3 linked regions of the Caenorhabditis elegans genome follow. The protein of the gene in region 2 purifies or fractionates together with the protein of the main gene of each other region. This does not show direct contact. Each region holds a gene or a part of one and is shown on either strand. Other genes may lie near its edges. The genes, in order: syp-1, brd-1 and syp-2.

Region 1 (5,845 bases), on a different chromosome or scaffold from region 2:
AGGACCCGTCTGCAATCCACATGTCGAGTTTCGGGCCGTTTGCAATAGAACCTTCGATCTTTACAATATTTATCCATATTCCTCAATGCCTCAATCATTTTCTCGTAAACGACAACTTTCCGGTCCGCCGATAGATAAGGATCTAAAGAAAATGTACTTTTCAGAGAAACAAGAAGCTCGAAGATCTCACCAAATTCTCCATAGAACAGATTGAGGAGTGTTGTGGGAGAAACTAAGTAAATTATAAAAGTAAATCCCAAAATAAGTAGAATAACCGAATAGGGCAATTGTCTTTGTTGAGACATTTGAGGTAAGTATGTAGATAAAGTCTTCCGCCGCCTTTGCAAAAAAAATCAGATTAAAAGGGCGGAAAAATTGGAGGAATGTCTAGTGGAAGGCGTGCATTGTGTGTTGACCTGTGGGAATTAAAAAAAAAAGTGTTTGAACTTAGACAAGACATGCGAGAACAATTCCCGTTCAAATTGGCCAATTTGTCGGGGAGTTTTTTTGAAAAAAGATTCTTCCTGCAATTCGAGAAGAATTGAAATCTGGTTTTTTCTCTCTCGTTGCCGCAAATTACTTTATATAAAACTCTAAAAACACAAAAAAAAATAGCACAAGATTGAAATGGTACATAGTCGTTTCTTCCCCACACACACATTATTTCTTCCCTCCTCTCTTTCGGCGAACATCTGCAGTATGAGCTTCGGCTCTCGTTTTAAGACGATCGGCCGCACGAGTTCGTTTCAACGGTCTGGTAGCTGCGGTAAGTGGTGTGCTCGTCATCAATGGCGCCGAGAATACATCATGAGACACTTGTCGGTGTACTGGAGTAACTTCTACACTTGGCTGCGGCGGAACTACTCGATCTGAATAGTCGGATTCCACGATATCGATGGTGTCGTTAAATTGATCGCCGTTTGCAGCACGTTGTTCTTTAATCTGAAAAATGGAAAAAAAATTAGTGAACAATTTCCGTTGAAAAAACTATCGAAAAATGGGGTAAATTTTGAACCACAATAAAATTTTCTTGTTTCATAGCGAAATTGGTTCTTTTGGGCACATTTTGAGTCTACAAATAACTCTGTATTAAATTCAAAAATTATTATTACTTGATTGAACAACTTCTCGTGTTCCTTGGCGGCGTCCTTGATTTGCTTATCATAGTCATTGATTTCCAACTGCATAGCAGAGATCTGAACAATAAAAAATTATTGGTTACAGTACTATATATTTAAGGAATAACCTCTTCTTCAAGATCACTCTCCGTTTTTGAAGATTGGAGCTGCTCCAGTTCCTTCTTTCCTTTCTCTAGCTTCTCTTGTTCTTTAGCAATTGCTTTTTTGAGACTGGTGATTTTCTTTCGATCTGATCCTTTAACTGTATTTGATTTCTTCTTTTCAGCAATTTTTCGACGAAGAAGTTCGATAATTGATCTTTTGCGCTCTTCAATCAATTTCTTATTCTCGATGTCTTCTTGTTGACGTGCCTCATACTTCAATTTTAATATTTTCGTATCCTCCTTGATCTTTGAGAGGGAAGCTTTCAGCTGTTCATTTTCCACTCGAACTTTTGCAGTCTCCGCTGTGATCTTTTCGATTTCCTTTTCAATTTCAGTCGTTTTGTCTTGCGAACGGCTTGCTTCGAATTGAAATAGCTGAGAACGGAGTGTGACGCAATCTTCCCTCATTTGCTCCAACTTCTCCTCTGATGCTTTGAGATTCAGTTTTCCCTCTTCGAGCGCTTCTCGGTCTTGATCTGAAATTTAGAAGAACATTTCATATTTTCTATTTACTGAAGAATTTAATACCTTGGCGAATTATCATTTCATCGTATTTCGCTTGCATCATTGCGCACGACGAATTCAGCTCCACCAATTTTTCATGTTTCTGCTTGGCTGCCATGATCATTTCACGAAGCCTCTGAAAATATTCAATTGATAATTTAAAAAAGAATATTCAATAACTAACCTTGCACTCATTTTTAGCTTCTCCGTTATTACGAGATTGTTCGCGTTGAATTATCTTAGTGAGCTCTCTTTCACGACTAGACAACAAATCTTCGAATTTGGATAACTCATAATCCGCTTCATTAAGACTTTTCTCCTTTTCGCCTGATTGTAGCTTGGTGCGATCTGGGATGCTTTCTGAAATTGGATATTTTCAGTGATGATTTTCAAGAAAAATTGAACATTTTCTCACTTTTGACAGAGACAAGTTGCAATTCGATCGACTTGCACGACTCTTTGAATACGTTAAGCTCCTTCTTTATATCATGCATTCGTTGCGACTCGGTTTGAACTTGAGAAGCCAGCTCGCGAGATTTCGCCGCCTGCTCATCAGTTTGCTCGCCTTTATCTTGCTCAGTCTGCTCGTCAAGCTTCTCAAGAACGTATTGCTGTGTGAGCATGATCTCATCGCGAAGAAAGCCTGACGATTGGTCATCAACTGGTGTCTCAATAAGTGCTTCAGTGGGAGCGTCAACCCAAATTGTGAAGTTATCCATTGCCAGAAACCTGAAAATAAATATTTATAAGCATTTTCGGCAAAAATTTATATTAAAAATTGGAAAAATCGAAGAAAAAAGATTGAAAAATGAAGAAAAAAACTTTGTAAAACGGTTTAAAATTTAAAGAATAATTTTTAAAATATTTTTTTTAATATGAGCGGAGGCCGCAAACACCGCGGCGCAAATTTGCAGATTGCCTACAGTAACTTGAGATTTTGTCAATGGAGCGCGTTTTGTTGCAGCTATTTTTTTCAAGATTATATGGTTTTTTTGCTGTAAAACATGACAAAAACTGCAGAAAACTTCGTAAAATTCAGGAAAAAAAGACGGAAAATTGAACAAAAAATCAGCGCTGATTTTGAATTGGTTGTGCTCCTTTGTGATTTCGAACATTAGCTTTTCATTGAAAATATAATTATTTATTGAAAAAAGTCCGTAAGTAAATATTTAAAATTGTCGTGTCAAGACCCTGTGTCCAGCTCCTCGAAATACAAGTAATATGATTTATTGTTTAATTGTGAATTTGAAAAAAAACATAAAAAGACGAATGTTACACGCATTGGAAATCCAAAAAAAAATATTCACACATTTCTATAAGTAGATTATTCATGTTTCACTTGAGATCATCAGAAATATCACTTTTCGAACTATTCGACAGATCACTCAACGAAGTATCATCATCATCATTGTAATCGTACACGGTGATCGGATCAGTATATCGTGGAGCCATTGGTCCAACAGGTCCCATTTGGCTGAACGGGGAAGGTGCTGGAGCAGCAGCAGAAGGAGCCGGTGGGAATGGTGCAGAAGTAGAGGGTAATGCGGTGAAGTTGAACGAGTGTGTGAATTGAAGAGCCGGAGGTTGTAGTTGGAATGGTTGAAGAGTTGAAGCTGTCGCCGGTCCAAAGTAGAAATTGCTGTTGAATGGCTGAAAATTTTTATTTATTTCCGAGACGTGAAATTTTGTGATTTTTTAAAATTTTTGTTAAATTTGAAAAGGTGTGCGCCTTTAAAGATTACTGTAGTTTTACGGAAAATGGGAATTTTATTTTAGATTTTTAAAAATTTATTCGGAACACTATGAAAAATCGATGAAGAAATTTTGAAAATACAGTAATCCTTAAAGGCGCATACTTGTTTTGCACTTTACAACAATTTTCGTGTCGAGACCGGCTACCGTAGGGGTTTAAGCCAAGAAATGCAGGATCTTCTGAAAACAAATGCACACTTCTCCACGAGGAGTACACGGGCCGCGTAAATCGACAGAACTGCTCTGACAATTTTTGGAATTTGAATTACCGCGAACTTGGCGCTAAGACACGCCCATTTTTCCGTGCCGTACTTTTGTAATTTTTTGAATTTCGAAGGAAATTCGTATTTTTCATCCATTTTTTTTTAATTGTGACACTTTTCATGTAGATTTTTACTCGGAGAAGGTATTTTTTTGTATTTTTGACGTTTTTTAGGAAAAAAAATTTGAAAATACGCAAAATTCCCTCTCCGAGTGGAAAATAACATGAAAAGTGTATTTTTAAGAATTTAAAATTTCTTCAACATCAAAAACGCAAAAAAAAATCGGCAAAGAAAGACAAATTTGCGTCGAAATCGAAAAAAAACCAACAGTGCCGCACAGAAAAATGGGCGTGGTTTCACGCAGTTTTTGTACCCCTCTAGGAGAAGTGTGCAGTTTTTTTTTGCTGGAATTCTTAATTTTAGTCCGTTTTTGCTAATTTTTAGCATTCAAATTTGCTAAAATTCTTGCTGAAAATCGCAAAATTTCGCTGAAAATCGCTAAATGTATAGTTTTTTAATCATAAAATACAATTTTTGACGATTTAATGCCAAAATTTGCGAAAATAGTCCAATTTCACTGCAAATTTTTACCTGAAAAACTGGCACCGAATTCTTCTTTTCCATCTCCAACTGCTCACATCTCTTCTCAAGCTTCTCACATTTGCTCCGATACTTTTCCATTTCCTTCTTAAATTGATCTCGTTCTCGGCGAAGCTTCTCCACATCCGACACGCTCGGCATATTTAAATTGAAATTTTCCATAGCATTATGCACATAATTTTCCCGTTCAATTCGCTCAGCAACTCGCTTTCTTTTCCGTTTTTCTTGTCGCCGAGACTCTTCGTGTTCCCATTTTTGTAGTGTAAATTGGGTGAACTCGTAAATCGAATCTTCACTTGGATATTGATTTTCTGGACTAGAACGATCGAGGTGAACTCGTCGCCTTTTGAGATTTGGTTGATCAAATGTCGCGTCAAGGTCGAGAGTTTCATCGTGATGAAGTTTTGGAGTTGTTGTAGTTGGTGGTGGTGGTGGAACAGGAGGTTCAGATTCAGTAAATCTATAGGGTTTTGGTGATGGACCGGGTTGTAGCTGAAAAATATTTGATTTTTTAAAAAAATTGGGTTTTTTATTTTAAAAAATTGAAAATTTCAGGTTGTTTTTTATGAGAAAATACAATTTTTCAGATTTTACAGAAAAATTTAAAAAAAAACATTTTTTTGGCTTTTTGGATTTGTATCGCGCTTTTGAATTGAAAAAAAAGGCATTTTTCTGATTTTTTATTGGAAAACTCGAATTTTTTTTGGTATATTTTTGTTGTAATGGAATTTTTCTGACTATTAACCATTTTTCTTGTCTTTTTATCGGGAAATTTGAATATTTCTCGATTTTTACATGATCAACTGGAATTTTTAAAGTTATTTCATTGGAAAACCCGGTTTTTCTGGATTTTTTCGTTGAAAAATCTAGATTTTCCGTTTTTTTTTGTTAAAAAATTGAATTTTATTCTGAAATTGGCTTTTTTTGTGTTTTCAGCGGAAAATATGGATTTTAATAGATTTTTAACTGGAAAATTCGAATTTTCCTTGTGTTTTCATTGAAGAAAATCAAAAATTTTCCGCTTTTTAGTGGAAAAACCGGATTTTTCTAGATTTTTCTTATTAAAACTGAACATTTTCTGGATTCTTCCGTGAAAAATCAGGATTTTAAGGTTTTTTGAGGAAAACAAAGAATTTTCTTGAAAAAGTCAATATTTTCTGGTTTTATAGAGGGAAAATCAGAAATTTTCCGCTTTTTTATCGGAAAATTCGAATATTTCTTGATTTTTACATGATAAACTGGAATTTTTTAAAGTTATTTTATTGGAAAACCTGGTTTTTCTGGTTTCTTGTTTAAAAAAAAAGAATTTTTCTCGGAAATTTGCCGATTTTTTTTGGATTTTCAACGGAAAATAGGGATTTCAATAGATTTTTAACTGGAAAATTCGAATTTTCCTTGTTTTTATTGGAAAAAATCAGAAATTTTCGGGTTTTTAATAAGCAAA
Region 2 (6,718 bases):
ATGACTATGTCAATACTTATGCTTCTTATTATCCAACTGCAATGGATTCTTCATCTTTAAATATTTCACCAACTACTGGAAGTCCTAATTCTTCCCATTTCACCACGTTTACTCATTTTTCTACTCCATCTACATCTCCATCTACCTCTACTCAAAGTTCAACTCCACCGAGCAATTCTGATAATAAGAAGTCATTTCAATGCTCAAATTGTTCAGTAACTGAAACAATTCGTTGGAGGAATATTCGATCAAAGGAAGGAATTCAATGTAATGCTTGTTTTATTTATCAACGGAAATATAATGAGACTCGTCCAGTCACTGCCGTTAACAAATATCAAAAAAGAAAATTAAAGGTACAGGAAACGAATGGTGTAGATTCTTCTTAATGTAAATTGTATCATTGTAAATTGTATAACTCAATTGTAATTTTCTTGTTTTAAGCCGGTAAATTGTTTTTAATTAATATGATCTCATAACTTATATTTATATCTTGTTCTCGATTTTAATTACATCATAACTTTAATTGCATGGATTGGATGCCGTTGTGTATAAAATAACACTTCAAAAAATAATCATTCATATTGCAATTTTACAATAGAAACGCAAAAGAAAATATTTTAAAACGGAAAATGGTTAATGTGGTGGTGTTGTGATGGAGCATCCAAGAATCGCCTCTATTAACCACTGCTCGCTGACAAGATTGTACTTTGTGCAGTCGCGGAATTTGTCTCCTATCTGTAAAGAGAAATAAAAATGTCACCAAACTGAAACTACCGAATCCATAATAACAGGAAAACTCCTTCGTTAAACTTACATCATGTGTCAAGCTGTAGAGCACAAAGTTTGGTTTCAAGTTGGCATTATGGTACGGCGGTGGATCTTTTTCGTCAATAATGGGCTCCCTCGCTGCAGCTTGACCACCGGCAGATCGAATAATTTCAAAAAGAGCTGGGCGATCTGAAATTGAAAATTGAAAAAATTAAAATACTGTAAATTAGAATCGTACCGAGGAAGTTATACTTTGGCTTTGGAATGAAAAATTTGCAACCGGCGAACAATTTTGGTTGCTGAAAAATTTGGTTGTATTTTTTTCTTTAGTGGAAATCAAATCCGTACCATTTTAGTGATTGTCTTCTTCCATTGTTCAATAGTATTTTCAAATACTTCACCTTCCATCCATCTAACTTTCTGAACCATATAAGAACGATCATCATCGACTTTCGATGGATCAATAATGCACGCTCTCAGCCAATCTCGACTAACTATCATTCCCGATCTGAAAGTATGAATTTCCGCTTTGAAATTTCATATTTTCACATAGATTTTTTTGGCTCTCATACTGCACCCTTGCGATTGTTTGCAATTTTCCCATGGGATCAGTCTATAACTAGACAGGGAAACGCATTTTATAATACAATCGAGCCACTGTGAAACTGAAATGAAGGTGTTTCTGGTGAGTTATATACTACTTTTGCTAATATTCAAAACTAATTTTGCAGTGTTTCCTTCTTCTTCTTCTTTCAATTTATGTTAATGCAAAGAAAGCAGAATGTCGAACTGATTCGGATTGCTCGGATAATAGGCTTTGTGTTTATGGACAATGTCTTTTTTCAAATCATGCAAGTGGTGGAGTTGTTATCACTGACGAAAATGCTGATGAACCTTGTACTTTTGACTGTCCAGTTGGAAAAAAATGTGTGGCAGGAGCCTGTGTTCGTGCCTAATTATCTTTTTATCTCCAATAAATATGTAATGCATTGCGACCTGATTTGAAGGAATGATAGAAAATAGACCATAATTACCGAATATAACTGTTAAAAAATTATTTCAGCTTTGGAAAAATAATAAGTTCTGATTAGTTTTGAACTCTCGTGCAAATGAATGGCTAAATTCGAACGCTTTTCGTGATTTTTGCTTGATGTTCCGAAGATTGTCAGATTTTCATAAATTTTTTAAGCAAAAAAAAAGATGAATAAATGTGAAATTATCGACTTTCAATTCAATTTTGAAGTTTCAGCGAATTTCTTTCTGATTATCATGCGTTTTCTTACGAACAAATGCCTTCCATTTATTTGCGCGAGAATTTAAAAATAAGTAGCCCATTTTTTGAAAAATTTCGAAAAAATTAATTTCTTAACAGCTATAGTCTGTCATTACGGTCTATTTTCTGACATTAAAAATCCCAAAATGACTATCTCCCACTTTTTAGGATAATTTTAAAAACCTACTTTATGATAGCTTTTAAAATTTCTCCAATATGCTCCTTGTTAATATTGAGCACACGAGTTTTCAAATCAACGGTGACTACCACATGCGTCGGAGAATCCATATCAGCAGGAACTATCTGAATAAATTTATTTTATTTTTAAAAATTAATTGTTTTTACATTGATTTTTCCGGGAAGTTTTCGTTTTTCAGATTCAGTGAGCATCTTCTCATCTATGAGTTGAACGAAATGAAGACGAGATTTTGGAGGGGCGACGACTGAAAATTCAATTTTTATCACGAAGAATAAAATTGTCAAAAAATTTCTTACCAGGCTGTAAAACTCTCTGTTCAGTCTTGAATTTTTCGATTATTTTCCTAATTTTCGGATCACTTTTAGCCATTTCTTCGACAGTTTTTCCAGCAATATTTCGAATTTTGATGCTGGCACCTTTCGATAAAAGATATTCAACAATTTGAGTATTTTGACGGCGAACAGCCTCGTGAAGCGTTGTTTCTAATGTTGAGCCGCCTGAATTCTTCGTCAAGAAAGTTGATAGAAGTTGTTTCTTACATGAAGCATTAATAACTGCACCCGCTTCAACAAGTATCTTAACAGCTTCCAATGAGCTATTCTCAACTGCCACGTAAAGTGGTGTCTTTCCGTCTTCTTTCTCATTTACGCACGTTCCTGCCTCTACAGCACTTCGAAGTTGAGGAATACGATTATTGCGAATTGAATTGACCAGGACAGCTTCACCACGACGAGTACCATAAGAACTGCGACGCTGAACATTTAAAAAATTGCAAAAAGTTTGCGAAAATGTGAAAATTGGAATGAAGGCGTAGAGATCAAGTTCAATTTTCAAAAAAAAAAGTCAAGCCACCTAGGGGACTCGAACCCCTGACCTTAAGATTAAAAGTCTCACGCTCTACCAACTGAGCTAAGGAGGCCATGCGTGCTGTGATGCAAAGACTTGTTAAGTAAGGGACAGAGGCGCAGACAACAAGATAATGTGGACGTTGAGCGTGACAGAGTAGAAAGACGAACGCCCGAAAACTCTTTTATTGAAGTCACTCACTTGCTCTGATTTCACACTCATCGACTTCTCTCCAAAACTCATCGGTGATTGAGATCGTCGTTCGATTTTATCGGATTTAATCGAATTTTTACGACTTCTAGACGTCGATGGTACTTCTTCTGGTTCTTCAGGTTCCAATTTTGGTTGTTTCTTGGCGCTCGCACTCATTGAAGCTTGCCGTTTTGTGAGAGGAATCGCTTTCGAGAAAATATCTTCTTCGATAATTTCGGCTTTAACTGGATTACTGCTACTTCCGAAAGCTTGAGCATACGTTGCAACACCAGTTGCTGCTGGAGCAGTTGAGCGACGCTGAAGAATTTCCGTTAAAGTTCTGAAGCGTCTTTAAAGTGAAATTGTCATACCTCAATAAACGGCGTCAGTAAATCATTTTGATGAGTTCTCTGCGGAACTTGCGATGCAAAAAGATCAACTACAGGCGCAGCCGGTTCATTTTTGACGGAAGTTTTCAGTATCGATGACCTTTTGGGTTTTCTCTCATGAACACTGACAGTTGAAGGGCGTTTTGTCGAATTACGCGTTCTAAAAGTAAATAAAATTCAATTAATTGAAGCAATGTAACAAACTCACGGAGAAGCTTCTTTGCTGTAGTCGTGGAATATATCCAATTCTGGAGAGTTTGAATTTTCCCTGAATTTACTGGGAAAATATGAAAAAAAGTTCTGCGTTCGGGGGGAATCGAACCCCCGTCGAATGCTTGGAAGGCATCCATGCTGACCATTACACCACGAACGCGGCATGGGAAACCAGCTATTAAATGAAGAGACATTTCTACTTGAAGCCACCAAATAGACCGCATCAGGTTTGTAGAAGAAGCATGACGGGAATCGTTTTCTCGGAAAGATATCCCCGATATGTCGCGTTCGTGGTGTAATGGTCAGCATGGATGCCTTCCAAGCATTCGACGGGGGTTCGATTCCCCCCGAACGCAGATTTTTTCGACTTACCGGTTTTCATCTTTACACATCAAATCATCATCCTCTTCACCAAGTTGTCCCATCTCGTCTGGCATATGAGCTTGCGTCTCCAGGAATTTCTCTACGGCATCAGCTGGAGTTTTTTCTTTGTTAAAAATGTTTTGTGTACAGGCAAACTCTGCTTGAGTTAGAGATGTTGTTCCGACCTAAATGAGAATTTAATTTTCGAGCTTTTCACCATTGACTTACTTTCTGTAAAAGGTCGTTTAGTTCAGACAAAGTATCAAAGCACGTTTTCAGCATATGAGCTTCTGTGATTTTGGATGTGTCTAGTGGGAAAGCACAACTCGGACACATGTGTCGAGCCACTGAAGAGCGTTTTCCAGACGGTTTCTGTTGAAATGTGGCGATACATTCCCTGAACATAAACTGAAGTTATTGACAATTTATTAGGTTGCAATACCTACCAGCAATAAGCATGTTTGCAAGATGATCCGAGATATTGCAAGTCTCCCCTCGGTTTTTTGCTGAAATTTTATTTAAGAGGCAAAATCTTGTACAACAACTTACCATTTAACACACTCGATAGCTGTTCGAAACGTTTCCAATGCTTTTTTAGTGTTTTCAAACATTATTTGACGCTGAAACAATAATTAAATCAAACAGGAAAAGAATAAAATTCGAAAATCGCACTTGTTTGTTTGCGCGTCAGGTGTGGTGCGTGCGCACAGAATACATTTTATTTTACGAACAAAATATTTTACTTCTATTTCTTTTTCTTTCATTAAACTAAAATTACATTTATTTTTTGTGTTTTATAGAAAAATACAGTTTACTTGGTCTGGAAAATTCACGAGAATGATCCTCTCGTCAATTTATTCTCTTTTTAATTATAATTTTAAGTTTTAAGCATGAGACCGCCAAGTGAATTACTCGATATTATTTCAAAGCTTGCTGAGCTCGATCCATTAGTCAGAAAAGGAGCAGTTAGACAGCTTTCAAGCAAACAAGAGGTAGGAAAAAAGTAGCTGAAATAAATGCCTAATTAAAGTGTTATTTTTTTAGGAATTATCCGATAACGAGCTCAACACATATGTGATTGAACGTCTTATTTCTGGATGTGCTTCAGCTCGTGCTGCTGTTCGTTTGGGATATACAACCGCTTTGGGTACTATTTTAATGACAAAAGCAGGCGAATCATGGGAACTCGACAAAATATTGGCCGTTGCAGATAAAAAGATGGACCTGGCAGAAAAGGTTGGGATTGTAAGTTCCTTTATTTGTACTAAATGTTTCGATTCAGACTGTTGGTACCGGACATGCAATTGGACATTATCTTATTCTTGTCACATATTGTCAAACCAGAAAACTCAAAGAAGCAGAAGCTACAAAAATTGTTGAGCATTCGAAGAAAATCAGAGACTTTGCTCCAAGCTTGGCATTTTCACAGATTAACCTTCTATGCAGTTTGGCTACAAAGACAAAAGAAAGTGTTTTCCAAAAGGTAAATCAATTTACTGTTTGAACAAAAACAAATCTATATTAATTTTTAAATTTCAGAGTGTATCCCCAGCCATCGAAATGAATTTGGAAGGTCTCAGCTCTCAGTTCACACCGGAAAATGTCTACCTGGCACTTCGCCTTCGTAATTCTCATTCAACAGTGGTTGCAAAATACGCAAAGTTTGTAAAGAAAGACGGATCTATTCAATTTTCTGATGATCAGTATCCTAAAATTTTGGCTGCTTTAAAGGTTAGTTTTCTATTTTAAAATTTTTATAAATACTTTATTTTCAGCGCTGTGACTTCGCCACAGTTCAAGTATTTCTTCCACTTCTCATCAAAGCATCAGTTGAATCATCTGGTTTTGATAAAATGTACCTGAGTAAGTTATACTTTTGAAAAGTTTTTTTTATAAATTCTCATTTTCAGAAGTTCTCGAGCCATGGGCCCTTTCAAGCAACGAGACGAAAGTTTTCGATAGAATTCTCACGATTGTCACTCAATTCTTTGATTTTGGAGGCGATGTGAAATCAATTGTTGTAGTATTTACTAAAGAAGTTTTGAATCGAATGGAGACCGCTACACGTGGAAAAGGACAATTCAGATTGATGAGTAAAAAGGTAATATTCAAGAGTCTTTATTGTTCAAATTTACAAAAATTAGTGAGATAGAAATTATCTAAAGGTAAACTGGCTTTTGTGATCGAATATGTCTCTGAATTTGTTTGATTGCTTTTCGGAGAAGAGCCTGGCAATCTTCCGGTACTGAAAAAAGATTTTTTAAAACTCAAGCTTTCTTCTAAACATCGAAAACATACATTTCTTGCATTGTTGTGTAAGTTCCTCATTTTCCACACAATATTCGGATGTTATTTCACACTCGATAGAACATAAATCGAGTACAGGAAGCCAGACAGCATCAGAAAATGGATCACCGCCTGTAAAAAAAGTGTTGGAACAATATTTAATTTCTTGTATCTTAAAAATGTATGCTG
Region 3 (3,624 bases), on a different chromosome or scaffold from region 2:
TTTCGCTATTATATCTTTGGCGTCAAATATGTTGTGCAATACGCATTTTCAGAACTTTGTGTTATCGTAATACAGTAACTCGTTATCCGCGTGGCGAGACCCATGCGCATAAGATATCGCGTTGATTTTTCCATGTTTTTTTCTATGTTTTGTATTTTAATTTGTCGGGAAAAAAATCAATAATCGAAGAAAAAATGAAACAAAAATCGATAAGTACAGCCGGAAAACGTGAAAAAAATCTTCTTGGCAAACTTTTTTCTACAAATCAGTAAAAATTTAGAAAAATTCTATAATTTTTTTACACTATTATTCGGCATAATAAGATTTTTTCTGTTATTTTTGGGAAAAAAAAACACAGACGCTACTCCACAAATTGCATAAGTATTCAAAAAAAACTTACCGTTCATACTTTGTGAAACATTTATCGAGTTACAGTCAAAAAGAGTAAAAGGAAACTACGCCATCGGACAATTGGTGGATTTGCATAAATTGATATTTTGAAATTCAAATTTTTCAAGTTTTTGTTTCATACGTTTCATTTTGTCCTGTGTCCTATGCGGCGGAGGCGTAATGCATTCTGTGAAAGTTGAGTGATGCGAGTTTTTAAACAAAATTTTATTCATTTTGGTCAAATATGGATTTTGGATTGTTTTTTTTTCAAAAAAAAAAGTTCCCATATTTGAGAAAGCAATACATGCAATACGATGGACAAACATTAAAATGATACATGTCATGTAATAAAACAAGGAAATTGAATACAACAGATGATTTATAACTTGTCAGCCCACGGCTCGAGCGTTTCAACCAAATCCAGAAGTTTGTCGTAATGAGCAGAGAAATCTTCCGAGAACCCATCGTTGTTGATTTTTGCATTATTGATTATTTTTATAGCCGCCTGAACATCATTGAGACAAGTGGAATGATGCGATCTGGCGTCAACGCGCTGAAATTTTTAAATATATATTTACTAATTATCTAATTCTTACATTTTCGAGTGTTTTAGACCAATTGTTGGCTTTCTCGACGAGCTCTTTTGTTTTTCCTTCTAGAGAAATGAGCTTCTTTGACTGTTTCTCCATTTGGTCGCTGAGTTTACTTTCGGCTAATGCCATATTTGCGATACGTTCGATTGAATTTGCCAGCTCCATTGTCAGATCTTGTGTCATTTTCGCCTGCTTGATCATTTTGTGTTCAATTTCAGAAACGTCATCCAATATGTCGCTTTGCTTACTCACAAGCTGAAATAAATTTTAATTGATTTATTTTCTGAATAACATTGGATCATACTGAAATTATATCGGCCACATCATGAGCAGGTTTCGATTTCTTCGGCGTGGAATGCATAGTTCGAAGATTTTTCGCTTTTGCAGGTTGTTTAGTTTGGGCCGCCACAGTTACTGCAGCTGTTTTCTGTGAAGAAGACACTGGAGATGCGAAGCTGACTCTCTAAAGATTCAATATTTTTAGTGAACCAATAAGAAGACTTCAATTACCCGGTCATCTTGGGGTCCTGGCCGCTTTTTGAGCGAAGATCGATGGGCAGAATTCATTCAAAAATTCTCAGAAGCGAAGTTTAAAATTAAAAAAAAAGAATAATGGAATCGAAATGGAATTTGGTAAAGAATTCACAAAAACTACGGTATCGGTCATTTTCCATGTGTTGGTCTGGCAACGCTGTGGAATTATTTTGTAATGCGCCTTTAAAGTTACAGTAGTACATTTTTAAATGCAGATTTAATAGTTTTCAAGGATTTGTTTATTGAACCATCTGCTTTTCAATCATGAAATAATTTAAGACTTTTTAATGCTTTCAGTTTACAGCTGCCTCGCATGCATGTATCTCAAGAATGATCACTTGTTTTCTTGATTTCTCTGTTGTAACGACGCTCCGCTCTAACGCATGCGCATGTTGTTTAGCGAATCGCGGACGCAAACCAATTTTTATTTTCTTTCTCAATTGCCCCTCTTTGTGCTCTTTTTCGCGAGTTATTTCCGATATTTCACAATTTATTAATACACTTAGCTCACGAGGGCGACAGTTCATGAATGTCTCTTCGAATTTCTAAATCTTTCAGTCGTGCGGTTCGTTTAAACGTTTATGAGCCGTCTGAAGTTTGTTCGTGTCGGGCTTCCATTTTTCGCAATCGTCTTGGGTAGCGCGTACGGACTTCACTTTTTCCAACAAGTCCGATTCGATTTTCGAAAAATCAAGCAAGAAGACGATAATCTTGAGCTCTTGGTGCGTTTCGTTTCTAGAAAATATCTCAACCTATTAACGTGTGATTTCTACCCTTTTCTAATTTTTTTTCTCATTTAAACTCTAAATTTATTGTTTGCAGAGGTCAGATTTGACAAGAAGCGGTCTGCGTCTTCGCGAAGGAGTCACTGTCGAGTCAGTTTATAAAGTGGGTTTTTGAAAAAAAAAAAAGATCTTTAATAAATACATAGTTTTAAGGAAGTCGCTGAACTTGACACGGACAACTGGGAAAACATCCGAGGTCCAAGAGATACTGAAGATCTCACCGACTATAACCTAATCAAAAAGCAGCAACAAGAAGCTAGTCGCAAAGTTCGAGAGTTGAAATCTAATGTCTGAAAACATCCCCGACATTGACCCCAACGAGCTCCTTCCAAACGCGCCAGGACAACATCAGGACCTTGGAGTTGATAATCCTCCAGAACCAGATAACGCTTCAATCCGAGCAGAGAGAGGTTCACCGACTCCGTCGTCCGTGACAGTCGACAACGCACCCTCCCTGCCGGATCGGTCATTCTCGCATTTACCAATTAACGATCCTTTCAGCGGAGAAATTCCAGAAGTATGTATATACTCACAGACTCCTCGGCGCGATATTACGGCGCGTAGTTGTCTTCTGTAAATCCCGATATTTTCACAATTTTCAATTGATTTGAGTATCCATATCCGCGGTAAAGCTGATATTTCTCTATTAAATAAAAGAAAAATAAACACCTGCAGAATGTTTTCAATGAGCAACCCTTAATGTAAAAAATACTCGTACAAAAACCATAATTTTTATAAGATACTATTATAATAGTAACATTATGTGTTTATGAACATATTTTAAATGAAAGTTAGCAAAAAACAAGAGCTAGAAATGATTGAAAGGCGCATCCAAGGAGGCTGTGAATTCTAGCTTCAATAATCTGATAATAAAAAATAATTTCCAGGTGCCGATCCCATCATCTGCAATCTCAATCTCCAGTCAAGCTTTATCTGATCCAGTTCCCACACCATCCGACACTTCAAGACCTGGAATTCTTCGCAACGACGAGCAAGGTTCGACATCCAGTCATCCAGTCGATCCACAAGAACCTAACGAAGTTAACAACGAGTATTTGGCGCATCTTCTCGATTTAGGATTCGACGAGTACACTGCAGTTCTTGCGTTGAAAAGAACGAATAGCGCCGGCGTTGAACAGGTGCCGTTTATTTCTTTATGTTTTGCGCTAGAACACATTAACTTTAATTATGTTAATAACACGCATGAAATTATGTTTCATGTATATTAAACAGATCTCATAATTGTCTCTCATATTTCAGGCAGTTGCTTGGATTGTTGAACGTTCCAACGAAAGCGATTTCGACGAGGATTCGAGTAGCAG

The links.
Region 1: the proteins of brd-1 (region 2) and syp-1 purify together in Caenorhabditis elegans (affinity purification with western blotting, with the first as the bait; one study listed by BioGRID). This does not show direct contact.
Region 3: the proteins of brd-1 (region 2) and syp-2 purify together in Caenorhabditis elegans (affinity purification with western blotting, with the first as the bait; one study listed by BioGRID). This does not show direct contact.

What each region holds. Positions count from the first base shown.
Region 1 is NC_003283.11:16,402,423-16,408,267, reverse strand, and holds syp-1 (uncharacterized protein), read right to left. Parts: upstream 3,995-5,845; 5' UTR 3,437-3,994; coding exon of another isoform or gene 3,122-3,436; 5' UTR 2,506-3,121; coding exon 2,202-2,505; intron 2,147-2,201; coding exon 1,971-2,146; intron 1,923-1,970; coding exon 1,811-1,922; intron 1,759-1,810; coding exon 1,247-1,758; intron 1,197-1,246; coding exon 1,113-1,196; intron 943-1,112; coding exon 661-942; 3' UTR 567-660; downstream 1-566. Other genes in the region: F26D2.3 (Core-2/I-Branching enzyme), read right to left, coding at 1-142, 191-305; F13A7.14 (BZIP domain-containing protein), read right to left, coding at 3,122-3,436, 4,393-4,893.
Region 2 is NC_003281.10:6,884,642-6,891,359, forward strand, and holds brd-1 (BRCA1-associated RING domain protein 1), read right to left. Parts: upstream 4,864-6,718; 5' UTR 4,855-4,863; coding exon 4,793-4,854; intron 4,750-4,792; coding exon 4,690-4,749; intron 4,641-4,689; coding exon 4,472-4,640; intron 4,429-4,471; coding exon 4,253-4,428; intron 4,245-4,252; exon of another isoform or gene 4,162-4,244; intron 4,041-4,161; exon of another isoform or gene 3,950-4,040; intron 3,936-3,949; coding exon 3,876-3,935; intron 3,828-3,875; coding exon 3,650-3,827; intron 3,597-3,649; coding exon 3,288-3,596; intron 3,163-3,287; exon of another isoform or gene 3,075-3,162; intron 2,994-3,074; coding exon 2,780-2,993; intron 2,738-2,779; coding exon 2,537-2,737; intron 2,485-2,536; coding exon 2,387-2,484; intron 2,345-2,386; coding exon 2,229-2,344; intron 1,277-2,228; coding exon 1,117-1,276; intron 1,068-1,116; coding exon 1,007-1,067; intron 958-1,006; coding exon 815-957; intron 736-814; coding exon 634-735; 3' UTR 566-633; downstream 1-565. Other genes in the region: med-2 (GATA-type domain-containing protein), read left to right, coding at 1-386; K04C2.2 (DNA polymerase V), read left to right, coding at 5,134-5,235, 5,288-5,479, 5,526-5,726, 5,783-5,974, 6,019-6,106, 6,154-6,344; K04C2.5 (INSulin related), read right to left, coding at 6,403-6,488, 6,542-6,661. UniProt on the Caenorhabditis elegans protein: Constituent of the CeBCD complex that possesses E3 ubiquitin-protein ligase activity.
Region 3 is NC_003283.11:5,534,695-5,538,318, reverse strand, and holds syp-2 (Biogenesis of lysosome-related organelles complex 1 subunit 1), read right to left. Parts: upstream 1,833-3,624; 5' UTR 1,551-1,832; coding exon 1,494-1,550; intron 1,447-1,493; coding exon 1,288-1,446; intron 1,239-1,287; coding exon 987-1,238; intron 944-986; coding exon 770-943; 3' UTR 602-769; downstream 1-601. Other genes in the region: cox-16 (Cytochrome c oxidase assembly protein COX16 homolog, mitochondrial), read left to right, coding at 2,099-2,239, 2,340-2,405, 2,456-2,596; C24G6.8 (putative peptidyl-tRNA hydrolase 2), read left to right, coding at 2,589-2,819, 3,190-3,441, 3,563-3,624.